Linked DNA regions of Sus scrofa. The protein of the gene in region 1 interacts with the protein of each later gene in a biochemical or structural test. Links are inferred from orthologs where the notes say so. Each region holds a gene or a part of one and is shown in the gene's direction. Other genes may lie near its edges.

The links. The genes of interacting proteins can lie anywhere in the genome.
Region 2: of the proteins of MAPK1 (region 1) and DUSP1, one has a biochemical effect on the other in vitro, tested with the Homo sapiens proteins (2 studies listed by BioGRID and IntAct). The link is inferred for Sus scrofa from reciprocal best matches to the Homo sapiens genes MAPK1 and DUSP1.
Region 3: of the proteins of MAPK1 (region 1) and SREBF2, one has a biochemical effect on the other in vitro, tested with the Homo sapiens proteins (2 studies listed by BioGRID). The link is inferred for Sus scrofa from reciprocal best matches to the Homo sapiens genes MAPK1 and SREBF2.
Region 4: of the proteins of MAPK1 (region 1) and IER3, one has a biochemical effect on the other in vitro, tested with the Homo sapiens proteins (2 studies listed by BioGRID and IntAct). The link is inferred for Sus scrofa from reciprocal best matches to the Homo sapiens genes MAPK1 and IER3.

The regions. Positions count from the first base shown.
Region 1 is NC_010456.5:50,081,692-50,085,878, forward strand, and holds the start of MAPK1 (mitogen-activated protein kinase 1), read left to right. Parts: upstream 1-1,387; 5' UTR 1,388-1,411; coding exon 1,412-2,154; intron 2,155-4,187. UniProt on the Homo sapiens protein: Serine/threonine kinase which acts as an essential component of the MAP kinase signal transduction pathway. MAPK1/ERK2 and MAPK3/ERK1 are the 2 MAPKs which play an important role in the MAPK/ERK cascade.
Region 2 is NC_010458.4:51,456,525-51,460,723, forward strand, and holds the start of DUSP1 (dual specificity protein phosphatase 1), read left to right. Parts: upstream 1-1,399; 5' UTR 1,400-1,737; coding exon 1,738-2,104; intron 2,105-2,380; coding exon 2,381-2,526; intron 2,527-2,867; coding exon 2,868-3,087; intron 3,088-3,520; coding exon 3,521-3,849; coding exon of another isoform or gene 3,850-3,890; 3' UTR 3,891-4,199. UniProt on the Homo sapiens protein: Dual specificity phosphatase that dephosphorylates MAP kinase MAPK1/ERK2 on both 'Thr-183' and 'Tyr-185', regulating its activity during the meiotic cell cycle.
Region 3 is NC_010447.5:6,781,925-6,786,044, reverse strand, and holds the start of SREBF2 (sterol regulatory element-binding protein 2), read left to right. Parts: upstream 1-1,320; 5' UTR 1,321-1,512; coding exon 1,513-1,600; intron 1,601-1,703; exon of another isoform or gene 1,704-2,275; intron 2,276-4,120.
Region 4 is NC_010449.5:23,265,060-23,268,279, reverse strand, and holds IER3 (radiation-inducible immediate-early gene IEX-1), read left to right. Parts: upstream 1-1,374; 5' UTR 1,375-1,411; coding exon 1,412-1,690; intron 1,691-1,786; coding exon 1,787-1,978; 3' UTR 1,979-2,720; downstream 2,721-3,220. UniProt on the Homo sapiens protein: May play a role in the ERK signaling pathway by inhibiting the dephosphorylation of ERK by phosphatase PP2A-PPP2R5C holoenzyme. Also acts as an ERK downstream effector mediating survival.

The DNA.
Region 1 (4,187 bases):
TTAAGGCAGGTTTTCTTTTACTGTAAGTTATTGCCTCTAAGTGATTTGCTCTGTCTTCTTTGGGGAGGGGGTGCCTGTAGTTTGACTTTGTGGTGTTTGTTCTCTTGTACATTTTCTTCTTAAAGAATTTCATCACCAGCTTTTTCTCATAGTCGTCTCCTATCCTGCTGACTTGCTCTTCTACACTGTTAAGTCTGCTTATTACAGCTCCAACCATTGCTTTTACTTTGGCTATTGTGGTTTTAATTTCATGGTACCCTCTATTTATCTTGGCCTGTCCTTTAAAAGATGCAAGTTCTTCTTTTAATCAAGAATCAGGGAGTTCCTGTCATGGCTCAGTGGTTAACAAATCTGACTAGGAACCCTGAGGTTGAGGGTTTGATCCCTGGCCTTGCTCAGTGGGTTAAGGATCCTGCATTGCTGTGGCTTTGGCATAGGCCGGTGGCTACAGCTCTGATTAGACCCCTAGCCTGGGAACCTCCACATGCCGTGGGAAGTGGCCCTAGAAAAGGCAAAAAGACAAAAAAAAAAAAAAAAAAAAAAAAGGAATAAGAATCAGGTGTTGGGTTCTACTTTATGGACTAAACATATTTCAAAAGAGTACTTTTTGGCTGTAGCCCTTTATTTATTTTCTCATATGCCACATGTTTTTTTTTTTCCCCAGAGGATTTTTTTCTCTTTTGCTTATTCATCTTCAAGACTGTCTAGTTGATCTTTGTTGATGACTGGAAGTCCAGGCTTTCTGGATCACAGTGTCAGACAATCAGGACGCAGAATTTCCCACCCTTAGTCCCCTTTCCAAGACGACGCAGGTGACTCCAATGAAGTGGCTCAGAAGCAAGGGCTGGATCATCTTCTGTCTCATTGTCTTAGCTGTTTATCGAATTCACCTGCTTCAAGATTCTGCCTTTTATTTTCAACCTCTGGTGTTTGTGACTATTAAAGTTACAGTTGATTTATGTTGTGTTCATTTCTGCTATACAGCAAAGTGATTCAGTTATACATATATACATTCTTTTCCATTTTTGTGACAATCTCTGAACCTCAGTGCGTCTAACTCGTTTTCTCTAGATGTTAATACTTGTTTTTTTCGCGTTTCTACCTGGGTAAGATCCTGCCCATCTGTACCAACTTGGGTGCCAGTCTCTGAATCTCAGTGTTTTTCTCAGGGTCTCAACCCACTACTCCCGAACCCCTTACTCTGCTCTCCTTTTCTTCGCAGTACTTCGCAGACAACTTGAGTCTTCCTTCAGATCCATCGACCGTCCATCCATCATCTCCTGGAGGGTAGCTTCGAGGAGGGTGGACGCGCAGGAACGCGGTGACACTTGTTGAACGAGCCTCTGCCGGAGCGGGCCGCGTCCGGGCTTCTTGTCTCCGCCTCCCACTCTGGGTTTCACACTTTCTCAGGATGCAAATATCTCTCTCGGTCTCGGTCACCCTTCCGGCTTCTGTGCGGGTCTCGAGGCCTCTAATCTGTATGGGCCCCGGACTCTCACAAACCTGGCTCGGCGCGCGGGGGCGGGGGGAATCCGCCCCGGTCGCGCTCCTACTCGGAGGGAGCCGCCCGGAGCTTCTCTCGGCCCGCTGCCCCGCCCGTTCGGCCCCGCAAGCTCGCCCCGCCTCGGAGTCCTCAGCGTTTCCCCGCCGCCTCCCGCGAGCGCACGTGACCGCGCCCCGCCCCGCCGCTGCAGTGCTCCGCCCCCAACGCGCCTCTTCCGCCGGCCGCGCAGCCCTGCCCCCAGGCCGCGGGAGCCAATCCGCGCTCACGCCTACGGCCCTGCCCCGGCGCCCTCCTCGGCGCGCGCCCCTCCCTCCGCCCGCCGGCCCGCCCGTCAGTCAGTCAGGCGGGCAGTCGGTACGAGCGGTCGGTGGCTATCTACCTCTCCCGAGCGGGTCCCTCACTGATTCTTCCCGGCCAGCGGCGGCGGCTGCAGCGGCTGGGGCGCGGTCTCCCCGTTGGTGCAGCGTGGGCCGAGCAGCGGCCGCGGAGCATCGAGCCCAGTGCGGCGGCGGCGGCGGCGGCCCGGCAGCCAACATGGCGGCGGCGGCGGCGGGCGCGGGCCCCGAGATGGTCCGCGGGCAGGTGTTCGACGTGGGGCCGCGCTACACCAACCTCTCCTACATCGGCGAGGGCGCCTACGGCATGGTGTGGTGAGTGTCCATGCCCCGCGGCCTGGCCGCGCCCGCCGCCCTCCCCTCCCCCCCAGCCGGGCTCACCGCTGCTGCCCCGCTTGCTCTCCGGACCCCGACCCTGACCCCGACCCCGGACGCGGACCCAGCCCCTACCCCAACCCGGACCTCCGACCTCCGACCCAGGCCCGCTGCGCCGCCAACCGCAGCGGGGCCTCGGTCGGGGCGGGGCTGGTCGGGCTGGGGCGTTGCTCGGCGCGGGGAGGGGGCGGGGGGTGGACACTGGATCCAGGACCCCGGCCCGGGAACCTAGGCCCCCTCCGCCCCCCCCGCCCCCCTCCCCGGCCTGGGTGTGCGCCGCGCGGCCTGCTCTTCGCGCCGGGGTGGGAAGCCGCGAATTCCTTCAGATGCTGGCGGCGGCGGCCGCGGCGTGTGTGCCCCGCCCCGAAATGACCGTCTGTTATTTTCCTTCCCTCGCCTGCGTTTTCCACGCACGGCTTTCATCAGATACCTTCGGTGGTGCCAGCGGTGCTCTCCTGCGCAGGCTTTTGAAAAAGCATTAGTGGCGTCAATGTTTGTTTTGGCATATTTCATTCTTGATGAAGTTTTTAAATGGGTTTTAATATCGTACTGTCCGCGTTTTAGGAAAGATAAACCAGCATCCCTCTCTTGATTTATTAAGGAGTCATTTGGAGTTGGGCCTAAATTGGCTTCTTTTTCCTTTATCTCGCTTGAACTCTATTACCAGCATAAAGGCATCCAGACGTTTTAGCACAATTATTGTGGACTTTTACTGTCAATGCTTTAGTGGTCAATATGTATGCAGTCCTGGTGGAGTTCTTGCAGTGTCACATGCTGGTTCCCTCGTCTTGATGCAGATCCCTCAGAAACGTTTGTGGAGTGGAGGTGACGGTGTTTTTTTTTCGTTTTTTTTTTTTTTTTAAATTAGTACTAACTAGCTGTCTTGTGCTGATGAAGACTTGTGCAGGTGTGGACTCCCTTATACCTAAATCTTGTGAGTGTCTTTTGTGTTGAACGAAGGAAAAAAACTAATACTGAATGCTGCGTGGCAGGTACTGTGCTAGATATATTATCTCATTTTATTTGAATAGTCAGCTGGTGGGAGGGAAGGGCTGTGAGATCTTTCAGATGAGAAAGTATTTCTGGTAAAGCCAATTCCTAAGGTCATTCAACTAAAGAGTCAGACTTGAGATTGTAGACTGAGAATTTAACTTCAGTTGCTGCAGCTCTTTTCATTACATCCTATTTTTCTTAAATAATGTTATTAATAATTTTAGAATTCTAGTCTGTCTTACTCATAAGCAAATCTATTTCAGAAATATATTCAACTTTAAATGATCTTGATTTCAGAAAGGCCATAGAGGGCATGATTTACCAGTTACATTAGCTAGGTTCAAAGACTACATAAACTTTAAAAAAAAAGAAAAAGACTTTCATTGAATCTTGAATATTTTCATTCTTTTCAAGATCAAAATGCTTCAAAGTATACAGCTGAGAATTAACGTGAATTCAGAGGCTAAGGAGCCAAAAGCGAAATTAAATTAGTTGAGGCCTAAAAGAAATGCAGTCCTAGAATGCAATGGAGAGAAAGTAATGCCCCACAGCATCACTTGTGTCCTACATCTGATTGCTGTTGTATCTGCTGGTAAGTGTGCCAGTAAAGGTCTCTATGAAGTGTTCAGAATTGCCTGTCATGTCCTTCAGCCCTTCCAAAGAAGATAAATTAGAACCTAAGATAGACTCTGAAAAGAACTAGTTTTGGAGTTCCCATCGTGGCTCAGTGGTTAACAAATCTGACTAGGAACCATGAAGTTGTGGGTTCGATCCCTGGCCTTGCTCAGTGGGTTAAGGATCCGGCATTGCTGTGAGCTGTAGTGCAGGTTGCAGACGTGGCTCGGAATCTGCATTGCTGTGGCTCTGGCATAGGCCAGGGGCTACAGCTCTGATTGGACCCCTAGCCTGGGAACCTCCATATGCTGCGGAAGCAGCCCAAGAAATGGCAAAAAGACAAAAAAAAAAACAAAAACCAAAAA
Region 2 (4,199 bases), on another chromosome or scaffold:
CACAAGCTAAGCGAGACAAATGCAGAAGTTTCCCCCGGTGATACAATCCGCGATCAACGACATAGGGTGGCCGTGAAATCCCCGCCCCCACCTCCCCGGGAGGAGGGGTAGGAAACCACAGAATGTTCCTGACCAGGCAATCCAGCCCGGTGGCGCAATGTTTATGTTTGTGTACCTAGCACATCGGTGCCGCCCGAAGGAGGCTCTGCCGCCTGAGGTGGGGGGTGGGGGTTGTCACTCGGTAGCCCAGGACGAGGGTAACCGCATGCGGGTCTCCCCAAATGCGCGTCCAGGTCCTGGTAATCCTCTTAGAGCACCCAGGATGGGGATTTCGAGTTAAGCCCATATTAGTGGCGAGAACCAGGGCGTGGGGGCTGGGCCCGGCTCCTGTTCCTGACTCCTGTTCCCAGCTGGAGGCTCCCAGCCCAGGGCAGAGTTAGGTGCTCAATCAGTGCACATTTGGGGAATAAAGAGATGGAGTGGCTACAACTGTCTTTAAGTAAACGTGACCCAAAACATGTCTGGCGGCCTCGGGAGGGCGCTGTCGAGCCGCGCTGGGGGGGGGGTCCGCCTCCCTTAACACGGAACCCCGCAGTCCTCGACCTGACTTTACGACCCCCCCGACCAGGATTTCAGCCCTCTGAAATCTTCTAACCTTTCTTAGTTCACAATGGTCTGGGCAAGCACATGACTGAGAAAGACCTTTTTCCTCTTGGGTTTGACTGGAAGGCATTTTACTTGTTAAATGTACATTTTATTTTTAAGTAACAGGAGAGTAGTCTGGGGAGTAGGAAAATATTTCCCTGAACACCTCCACCCCAACTCACCCCGGTTGTTCTTGGCTGGACAAACTCGTTAATTTTCCTCCAACCTTCATTTCAGGCTCCTCTCTGTCCCTCGACCCCCAGCAGCGTGATGCTGGGCAAGTAAATAGCCTCTCCTTGAGAACCTGTTTCCTCGCCTGTTGGGGATGAGGAAATGAGAGAAAGGGGCCCACATCTCTGCAAAAACGCAGGAAACCCCTTTCCGTTCTGCTCTGCGGCGGAGGGGGCGCGGGGAAGGGGCACAGGGCGGGGGGAAGGGAGGCGGAGGCCGGTGGCATGCGGCCTGATCTCCCAGCCGCTCTCAACACCGAGGTCAGCCTTCAGCTGCTCGCGCGCCCTTCCTCTCTCCTCCCTGCCGGTCCCGGAGAGTAGCTCGGGCCAGCTCCCCGGGGACGCGCCAGGCGCAGGCCGGACGGCCCGGCGGGGGATGGGACCCGAGCCAGAGCGCAGCCAGCGGACCCCACTCAGAGGCCGATGACGTCTTCCCCTTTGGCTCGGCCGGCGCCAAGCCCGGCAGGGCGGGTGACGTCACCACACCGGTCACGTGACCGTCATTCAAACAAACAACCCCCTCCCCTTGCGCGCGCGCGCGCGCGCGCGCCTCCGCGCGCCCCTCCCCGCCCCGCCCGCCGAGAGGCCACATATAAGCGCGCTTCCCGCGGGTCTGACTCGCCGTGAAGGACGTTGGGGTTGTAGGTTCTACGCGGGTTGGAGGGGCAGGCAGGGGAGCAGTAAGGAACCCGAGGCGGTCGAGAGACCCGCACGAAGACCCTTCGCTCAGCCCAGAGGCAGTTTGGAGTTTGGCTTAAAGAAAACGAGGGTCAGGCTTTTCCTCGAAAGCCGTCGCCCTCCCCTTGGCTTCCGAGGACAAAGAGCACAAGAAGACTTCACGCTGGGGGCGCTGGGGCCGGCCATGGTCATGGAAGTGGGATCCCTGGACGCCGGAGGCCTGAGGACGCTGCTGCGGGAGCGCGCGGCGCAGTGTCTGCTGTTGGACTGTCGCTCCTTCTTCGCTTTCAACGCCGGCCACATCGCCGGCTCCGTCAACGTGCGCTTCAGTACCATCGTGCGGCGCCGGGCCAAGGGCGCCATGGGCCTGGAGCACATCGTGCCCAACGCGGAGCTGCGCGGCCGCCTGCTGGCCGGCGCCTACCACGCCGTGGTGCTGCTGGACGAGCGCAGCGCTGCCTTGGAGTGCGCCAAACGCGACGGCACCCTGGCTCTGGCCGCCGGAGCGCTCTGCCGCGAGGCGCGCGGCGCGCAAATCTTCTTGCTCAAAGGTACGCCCTCGGGGACGCTCAGGGGCGGGCCGCACGCCCCCTGTCGCCTAGCCCGGGGACCCCCGGCTCTCAGCATCTAGGGGACTGCCCCACCTGGAGCGCCTGGGCGCTCGATCCGCATTCTGGGGACTTGTTGGCTTTGTTTGGTCTGTGAACAAAGACTCGCCTGGGCCTCTCCGGGGTAAACTTCCAGTCCCGTTGGATAGCGGAGTTGTTTGAAGGGTGCCCTGTGTCGGCGGTACTAATGGGAAAAAAAATGTCTCTTTGTATTCCCAGGAGGATATGAAGCTTTTTCTGTTTCCTGCCCGGAGCTCTGCAGCAAACAGTCGACCCCCATGGGGCTCAGCCTTCCCCTGAGTACTAGCGTCCCTGACAGCACCGAATCAGGGTGCAGTTCTTGCAGCACTCCACTCTACGATCAGGTTAGTAGGGGGCCTTACCAGAGGGGAGAAGGAACAGCTGGTAAATGTAGGAGAATATAGAAAGTGACATGCAGCTTTATTTATAACGGGGGACACGGGGATATTTATCCCGTGGTTAAGTGGTATGATGGAGCTGAGTCTCTAATTGTTGGCACTACAGAAGTGAACTTTGTTGGCCCTGCCCAAGCAACTGGGCTTAGTCCCCTATTTTCTATACCAGCAAGATGCTGCGAAGGTCACCCAGTATTGAAACTGACTTGTTCAGGGAGTTTTTGTGGGTGTGGGCATGAGCATTGCCATTGAACAAGGCTTGACAAGTGTTGGATGTTTCTGGATTTCAGGGTGGCCCAGTGGAGATCCTACCCTTTCTCTACCTGGGGAGTGCCTACCATGCTTCTCGCAAGGACATGCTGGATGCCTTGGGTATCACTGCCTTGATCAACGTCTCGGCCAACTGTCCCAACCATTTTGAGGGTCACTACCAGTACAAGAGCATCCCCGTTGAGGACAACCACAAGGCGGACATCAGCTCCTGGTTCAATGAGGCAATCGATTTCATCGGTAAATAAGTGGAACAAGATGCCTGGGACCTGTGCCTCCCTGTTTTAGTTTGAGCCACCGAGCCTAAACTCTACAGCAAGAACTTGAGGGACATTCTTTTAAGCTGTAGACATTACTCTCAGTCAGGTGTGGGTGGCATCCCTATGAAGCATAGATTTGATGTCCCACTTTACAGGTTAGCAAACCGAATCTCAGAATGTTGACTTAATTTGTCCCACATGGGTCTGCTCACATGCCCTGGTCTGGGTTTACATGCCCTGTTCCTCTTGCGCAGTGCCCCCATCCGCCTCCAGGAACAGGGCCCATGTGATGGCATGAGGTGATAGTGACCACCTCTGGACAGGACACACACAGCATCTCTTAGACACCCTCTCCCTGGGGTTGGGGTTGTTCTCCTGGGCTCTCAAGTAACCCGCTGCCCTTTGTTTTCCAGATTCCATCAAGAATGCCGGCGGAAGGGTGTTTGTCCACTGCCAGGCGGGCATTTCCCGATCGGCCACCATCTGCCTCGCTTACCTCATGAGGACTAACCGAGTCAAGCTGGACGAGGCCTTTGAGTTTGTGAAGCAGAGGAGGAGCATCATCTCCCCCAACTTCAGCTTCATGGGCCAGCTGCTGCAGTTTGAGTCCCAGGTCCTGGCCCCGCACTGCTCGGCGGAGGCTGGGAGCCCGGCCATGGCCGTGCTGGACCGAGGCGCCTCCACCACCACCGTCTTCAACTTCCCCGTCTCCATCCCCGTCACCCCACGAACAGTGCGTTGAGCTACCTTCAGAGCCCCATCACGACCTCTCCCAGCTGCTGAAAGGCCACGGGAGGTGATCTTCACAACCCACCGGGACTCCAGGCTCCTTCTTGCAAGGAGACATGCAATAACTCCAAGGAAGGGGGCTCGCGAGGGCTGGTCCTTCCTTATTTAATTTCATCCGAATTCCACTGGGTTCCTGGGCGGTCCTGGGGATGACTTGGCGCCAAGACCGTCTGCTGAACTCAGCACATTGGGGACCAACATGCCGTGCGTGGGTGCATCAAGTCTCTGACAAAAGGGGCAGAAGAGAGAGGACTCGGTGTGCGAGCCGATTTTTTTCTGCTGGGCCCTGTTTCCTGAAGAAAC
Region 3 (4,120 bases), on another chromosome or scaffold:
GTTTTCTTTACCGGACCAGAGGCTCTCAGAGGGCAGGAATTGTCTCTTTGCTTGCCCCAGAGATGTTCAATAAATATTGTCAAATGAATGTGCAATGTGATTGGTTGAATTGTGTGATTCCACTTTCCTCACAACTATGAGGGACACTATTCCCATGTTAGAGATGACAAAACTGAAGCTTAGGGCGTTTATTTAGCTCAGAGTCACTCGTTCATAAATGGACCCGTATGCCTGCCTTCACAGGGCCTGTGAAGTCTGTCTTGACCACCAAGCAACAGCTGCCTCTCACAGACCAGCAGTAAACATACTTTCCCCTTTTAATACTGTGAAAGTCGTTGTCAACAGATAGACATTCATGTATGTAATGTTTAATGATGCCATGATAATTACATTGTGTGGATGTAATTTATTCAGCAGGTCGTTATTGGGCTTCCCAATTTTTCTCAATTTACAGAAGACTCTGATGAACGCCTTTGAACACACAAACTTGCAAATTTTTTAAACACTCATATTTGTCTTCCTTATTTATAAATTCCTAGAAACGTGCACATTTGTTTATATCGTGACCAGCTGCAGAACTGAGAAGTTTAAGAGTGGGAATCCGTGGGTGGGTTGCGCCTCATAATCCCCGCATGATGCTCATGCCCGGACCCAACCTCTGGAGGCCTGTGATAGTTCCAGGCACTGGCATTATTTTAAAGGACTGCAAGGGATTCTGATGTACCGGGGTGAGACTGGGTGAGGCTGTCGGAGTAAGCGCGTCGTCGCGGCAGGTGCAAAGGCGCATGAATTGCAAAACATGCTCCACTCTTAGGCGGTTCGCGAGCTTTCGTAGCGCCTTTGCAAGGGGCTTAGCTGGAACGTGACTTTAACGATCTAAGGATTCCTCCGTGCTCCAGTACTAGGGGTCTAGGTTTGATTCCACCCGCTTCCCCAGCGGGCTGGGATCGTGGGGAGGGCGGGAACAGCTGGGAAGATGACGTAATGTGCTTAAGGCTGGCTTCGGGGGCCTCCCGCGGCCGGGGGCGGAACTTGTTAACCCTTCAACTCCCAGCAGTCAGAGGTAGTAGCTTGCGGAGCCAAACCAACAAAAAAGGGAGCGGTTCCTTTAAACGAGGGGAAGAAGGTTGGACTGAGGACCCGGAGCCTTCTCTTCGCATTCGCTAAGAGGCCGCCAGGGGAGGAGCCTTCTTATGCAAATCTGAGCTGCTGATCGTTGACGCGCCATCACCCCACGCGCCGCTCCGCAAGGCGATTGGTCAAGATGGGCCTGGTCCCATTGACAACAAACAAGGGGGTGCGCGGCCTGGGGGCGGGGCCATAGAGGGCGCGGGTTGGGGCGGGGGAATCCCGCCCCGCCCTCCCGCGCAGCGCAAACATGGCGGCGGTTGGCACCGGCCGGTGAGGCAGTACCGGGCGGGAGCTCTTGGGTGTCATGGGTGGTGACGGCGGCACCGCCCTCGCGTCTCCCTGAGCGGGACGGCAGGGGGGTCCTCTGCGCCGAGCCGGGCGATGGACGAAAGCGGCGAGCTGGGCGGTCTGGAGACCATGGAGACCCTCACGGAGCTGGGCGACGAGCTGACCCTAGGGGACATCGACGGTGAGTGATGGGTGGGTGGGTGGATGGGAGTGCGGGGGCGCGCGGAGAGGAAGGGGTTACGGCGGCGCGCGCGGGGGCGCGTACGCCCATCCCCCGGCACCCCAGTCTCGCGCGGGAAGAACCGGCACGCGCGGTCGCCCCGGCAGTCCCCAGCCCTCGGCGCTGCGGGTTTCAGCCCCGCCGGGCCGCTCGGTTTCGGCAGACCATGGGATCTTGTCGGGGGCGTCGCGGGGGAGCGGCCTGAGGGGAGCGCGCGGCCGCCGTTTCCCTTGCGCGCCTACACGCGCCGCCCGAGGTCCCGCTTGCCAGCCAGCGGGCCCACGTCGCACCTGTCACTCCCCGCCCGGCCGCGTGGGCAGCTTGGGATTCCCGGGGCCGGGCCCCCAGGCTCCGCGCGCTCACCCCTCAGGTCTTCTCCGGGTTGAGCCACGGCCCAGTTTCTCCGTGCTTCGGGAAACTTTGGGCAGCGAGCGGCCGCAGAAGCAGGTTGCTGATGAAACGAGTGGTGGCGGCGTAACGTGGACGCATCTCTCCGGGGTTGAGACCGGGCCGCTCCTGCTGTCGTTCTGCACAGGGAGTTGAGCAGCAGGAGTTTTGAGTTGTGGCCCCTCGGGGACAGGCTGGGGAGCGGGTGGCCTTTGTTCCGACGACCTTAACAGCGGAAAGGAAGAGCTGGTAGGAGCCCAGGGATGCTCTCTTGCAATACTCTCATTTGGTGGCTACGGAACCTAAAGTTTGCAGAGGGTCAGCGGCTTGCCCGGGGTCCCCCAGCTGGTTACAGAGCACAGTTCCTGGGCCAGTGTTGGTGTCGCCACTACCTGATCCTGGGGGGTGAGGAGTCCAGTGAATAGGTTAGTCACCAAAATAATAATTCTCAGTAGTTGGGCTCTTCCGATATTCTAGGCCCCAGACACTTTATATTGTTTCACTTATTCCTCACTACAGTCACTCGAGATAGATGTTCTTATTGCTCCTACTTTACAGGACACTGAGAGCAGGAGGTGTTAACTTTAGATTGTCCAGAACCCATGCTCTTAATCAGTAACTCAGGTGTGTTTTGCTCTTGAGTTTTACCAAGTGCTTTCAAGTCCAAGATCTCACTACAGCCTTGCAGGCAGGTAGGATGGCTCCCATTTAATTATACAGATGAAGAAACCCAGGCAGCAGAAGATTCTCTTCCAGGGGATGAGATAGTGGCAGAGGCTAATTGAAAAGGATCTGTTTCACATTTTGCTTTGGTTACATTTCACCCCTCGGCCTGACCTTGCTTTCTGATTTTGGTCATCCAGGCAGTGTGGTAAGATCCTTAAATGAAACCTCAAGTCTAACCACAGACTTTTCCACTGAGTGCTGCTAAATACAGAGATGTGTTGACAAATGGGGGAGGGAGGTTCTGAGAACTTAACAAGGGCAGCTAACATGTTGTGAGTATTTACGTGCCAGGCACCGTATTAAATCCTCACACATATTAATGTTTTAGATTCTTTTTTTTTTCCTTAGTTTTATTTTAAGGCCGCACCTGCAGCATATGGAAGTTCCTGGGTCAGGGATTGAATTTAAGCCACAGCTGCGACTGGGGCAATACTCAATCCTTTAACCCACTGTGGGGGGCCAGGGATGGAACCTGCACCTGAGCCCCTGCCCTGCAGTTGGATTCTTAACCCACTGTGCCACAGTGGGGACGCTAATGTTCTCAATTCTTAACGAGTTCCATCAGGGAGACTCCTTGTCATACTACACTCCTCCCCTTCTTGTGGATCCTGACACTGAGGCTCAGGGCCTCATTAACTTACCCAAGTTTACATAGCCAGTAAGGATTATGTCCAAAGCTGCCTACCAGCAAGCTCACACAGAGAAATTTGTGTGCATTTTGCATTCCCATTCCAAAATTGATCCCTATTTGTCTTAATTTGTAATGTGTTAAAGTACCTAGTAGTTAAGTATTAACCTTATCCCCATAGATTCCTGAGTAAAATGTACATTCTGGAAACTACCAGAGTGGTTCAGTGGCTTCACGGGGCTCCATATTAGATTTGGGGGAAAGTGGCTCCCTGTCTTCATTGGTCAACAAGTATTCAAGTGCCAGCTGTGGTTTCTGAGCTTCAGGGAACATGGAAAGATAGAAAAGATATGGATAGATATGTTGTGGCTCAGCAGTAATGAACCCAACTAGTATCCATGAGGATGCGGGTTTGATCCCTGGCCTCGCTCAGTGGCTTAAGGATCCCGAGTTGCTGTGAGCTGTGGTATAGGTCACAGACACGGCTCATATCCTGTAGTGCTGTGGCTGTAGTGTAGACCGGCAGCTGTAGTTCCCATTCACCCCCTAGCCTGGGAACCTCCGTATGCTGCAAGTGTGGCCCTAAAAAAAGCAAAAAAAAAAACCAAAACCAACAACAACAAACAAAAAAAGAATAGGAAAGATAGAATTTTATGACTTCATGGAGCTGGAGATGAATAATGAAACTGTGGTGCCAAGTACAGAACAGCTCACAATTACCCAGAGCAGTGATGGAACAT
Region 4 (3,220 bases), on another chromosome or scaffold:
ATTCCCCAAACACATCCTGTACTTTTCCGCTCAAGGCCTTTGCTGATTCCATTCTCTTTCTCAGTCATCTTCCACATCTGACTCTGTGGTATCCCCCCCACTGTTCAAGGTCCTTTCAAATGCCATTATTCCCTGAAGCCTCGCCTGATTGATTAGACAGACATGAACAGTAGTTCTCCTGGCATCTGGCATGCCCGGCTCCCCAGCACACATGAGGAAACTCCCCTTGGTACTCAACAGTACCATTTAACAGGAAGCCTGGCTCCATGAATGCTCAAAAGATGTTATATTCTGTGTCCGTGAACAGCTATTTCTAAGGCAGTTAAAGAAAATGTGTCAGTTCTCGAGTTATTGTCATTACCACATTTGCAAAATGTCTCGCAGTTTAAATGTTCCTCACATAAACTTAAATCCGGGTGGCTACTAACTTCTTGCCTTTGTATTTTGTGTCCTCTGCTCCAGCCATGTATGAACATTTGTGCACATTGCTGGGTTGCCCCTGTGTGGTGTCTGCACCTTTGTTCTGTGTATGCGTGTGTGTGTTGTGTGTATATTGAAGGGTAGCAGAATATGTCACCCCAAAATGTGCCTCTTTGGAGCATGCGGATTATTTTGAGCAGAAGGCAATCAAGATCAACAGACTCTGGAAAAGCTTTTTACCTCTCCCTTAACTGCCTAAATAACTTAAGTAGGGGGCCTGACCCAGGGAGAGATAGCTTTCATCTGCAAGATTTACCTGCTTGGCAGGGCAAACATCTAATTAGCAAACATCCTCCTGTGAATTACCTACCTCCCCTTCAAGCCCCAGGTCCCTATCTCATTCCTTAGCTCTGGATGGTTTATAAACCTCAACTGAATGACTGCCTTTGAATCTCAAGTCTTCATGGGCTCCTGTAAGCATGCAATTAAATTTGTTTTCTCTTGTTAATCTATCCTATGTCAATTTAATTATTAGACCAGCCAAAGGAGAAATTTTTCTGCCTCTGCAGTGTGGTGTGTGTGTGCCAGTGTATTGGTTTCCCTTAGGCTTTTTGGCTATTTCTGTAGTGACTTGCCTCTTAATCCCCACAGACGTGTGAATGTGCATGTGTAACTGTGGTTCTTTTGTTGGGTCAATATTGTAGCAGAATGGCCAGACTTCCTTATTTAAGCCTTCCTGCCTCCCCAGAGATGGGGCTTGTGGCTGAACCATCTCAAACAGTCTGTGGGCACCTCTCCAGCTGCTACATGTCCCCACATGTGTCCACAGCCCGGGATTTCACCCGCCTCCACTCACAACTCACAACACACACTTGAGGCCTTCCTTGACCCTGGCCAACTCTCCACCCCCTCCCTTTGCTTAACCGTCGGAATTTCCAGCCGCCCGGCCAACCGCTCTCAGCCGCGGGTGGAGTTGAGTAAGGGCCCGCCCATGCTCGAGTACATAACTGGCGCGGCGGGGCTGTGGGGCCAGTCGTCCTTCTGTTCAGCTCGGCGCACAATGTGTCACTCTCGCAGCTCTCTCCCTACCATGACCATCCTGCGGGCCCCGACCCCGGCCCCCTCCACCAGCCCGGTGCCCCGGCGAGGCTCTGGTCCCGAGATATTCACCTTCGATCCTCTCCCGGAGCCCGCGGTGGCCCCCGCCGCGCGCCCCAGCGCCTCCCGCGGGCTCCGAAAGCGCAGCCGTCGGGTCCTCTACCCACGAGTGGTGAGTGTCGGCGAAGCGGACAGCCCGGGGGAAGAGCAGGGTAAACCACTGGATGCCGGGGCCCTGACCTAACCCCCTTTTGTCATCTCCCCTCAGGTCCGGCGCCAGCTGCCAGTCGAGGATCCGAACCCTGCCAAAAAGCTACTCTTTCTCCTGCTTACCATCGTCTTCTGTCAGATCCTGATGGCTGAAGAGGGTGTGTCGGCACCCCTGGCCCCTGAAGACACCCCCAGCGCCCCATCCCCCGCGCCCACCGCTGCGCCCCCAGTTCTTGAGCCCTTAATCTGACCTCGGAGCCCTCGGACTACGCTTTGGACCTCAGCACTTTTCTCCAGCAACACCCAGCCGCTTTCTAACCCTGACTGCCCACACCCCCAAAAGAATCTGAAAACACAAGGAAACACCGGGTGTACCTGGTGCGCAAGAGCGTATCCCAAACTGGGACTCCTGAGGCAACTCACACTCAGAACACTACAGCGGAGACGCCCGCCCTGGGAGCCTGGGAGAGACAGGCACCGACACGCTGGGGCTGGGCCGGATGGGGAGGAAGACTGTTGTTAATTTATTTCTCATTGCTCCTAATAATATTTATATGTATTTATGTATGTCCCCCTAGGTGATGGAGGGGGGCACCTAATATTTATTTTAACTTATGCTGCGGAGCGAGATGTGCTCCCTGCTGCAAGTGCAGATCTCTGGGTATTTATTGAGTTCTGTGGGATTGGTGGAGGCAAGCACCAGAACTGAGGGAGGGTGGGAGAGGGATGGAGAAAACTCGGGTCCGGGCTGGGAATCGAAGACGGTGGTGGGTCCTAGGTTTAGCGGGTGACACTTTAGGTCCTCCAGCATCTGAACTCTCGGCTCTACTATGTGAGGCTTCGGGGGACCGTGGAAATATTGTCCTTGGCCTTCGATCTCCTTGAAGTTGCCCCCAAGGGGTGGCTGCGGGGGTGAGTGGGCTGTCAGAGGGCGGCTGTGGGGTCGCCCAGTATGTTCTGTGAACACAAATAAACTTGATTTACTGTCAACAGTCATGTGAGTGTCTCTGCAAGCGGTGATGCCCACTCCTCATAGACTTCAGGCTCCAGGGCCGGGCGGGAGGAGCCACGACCACATCCCCAGAGGGCTCTCCTCCCGGGGGCCCTGGGCTCCCGCCCCGAGACTCGAGGCTCGGAACCCAGCATCCGGTGACCGGATGCTGTCGTTCGTTGCCCAGTCTGCGGTATTCCCAGTTAGTTTCTGCGGGGCAAATCCGAGATGAGTCAATCTCTCACCCCGGGGTGCGGGACACACGAAGGTCACGTCCCGCGCGCTGGGGCGGAGCGTGGGGAGGGGCGTGAGGCGGGGCTCCCAGTCCCACTCGTGGCTCGCTCGGCCGCAGGGGTGGGCGGGGAACTTGCGAGCTGCGGGCCGGAGCAGGGCCTGCCGGGAAAGGGGCGGGCCGAGCGCCGGGGGCGGGTGGGGTGCTGCGGGGGGCGGGGTCGTGTCTGCCGCAGCAACAGGGTGTGGCCGGGTAGGGGGCGCGGGCGC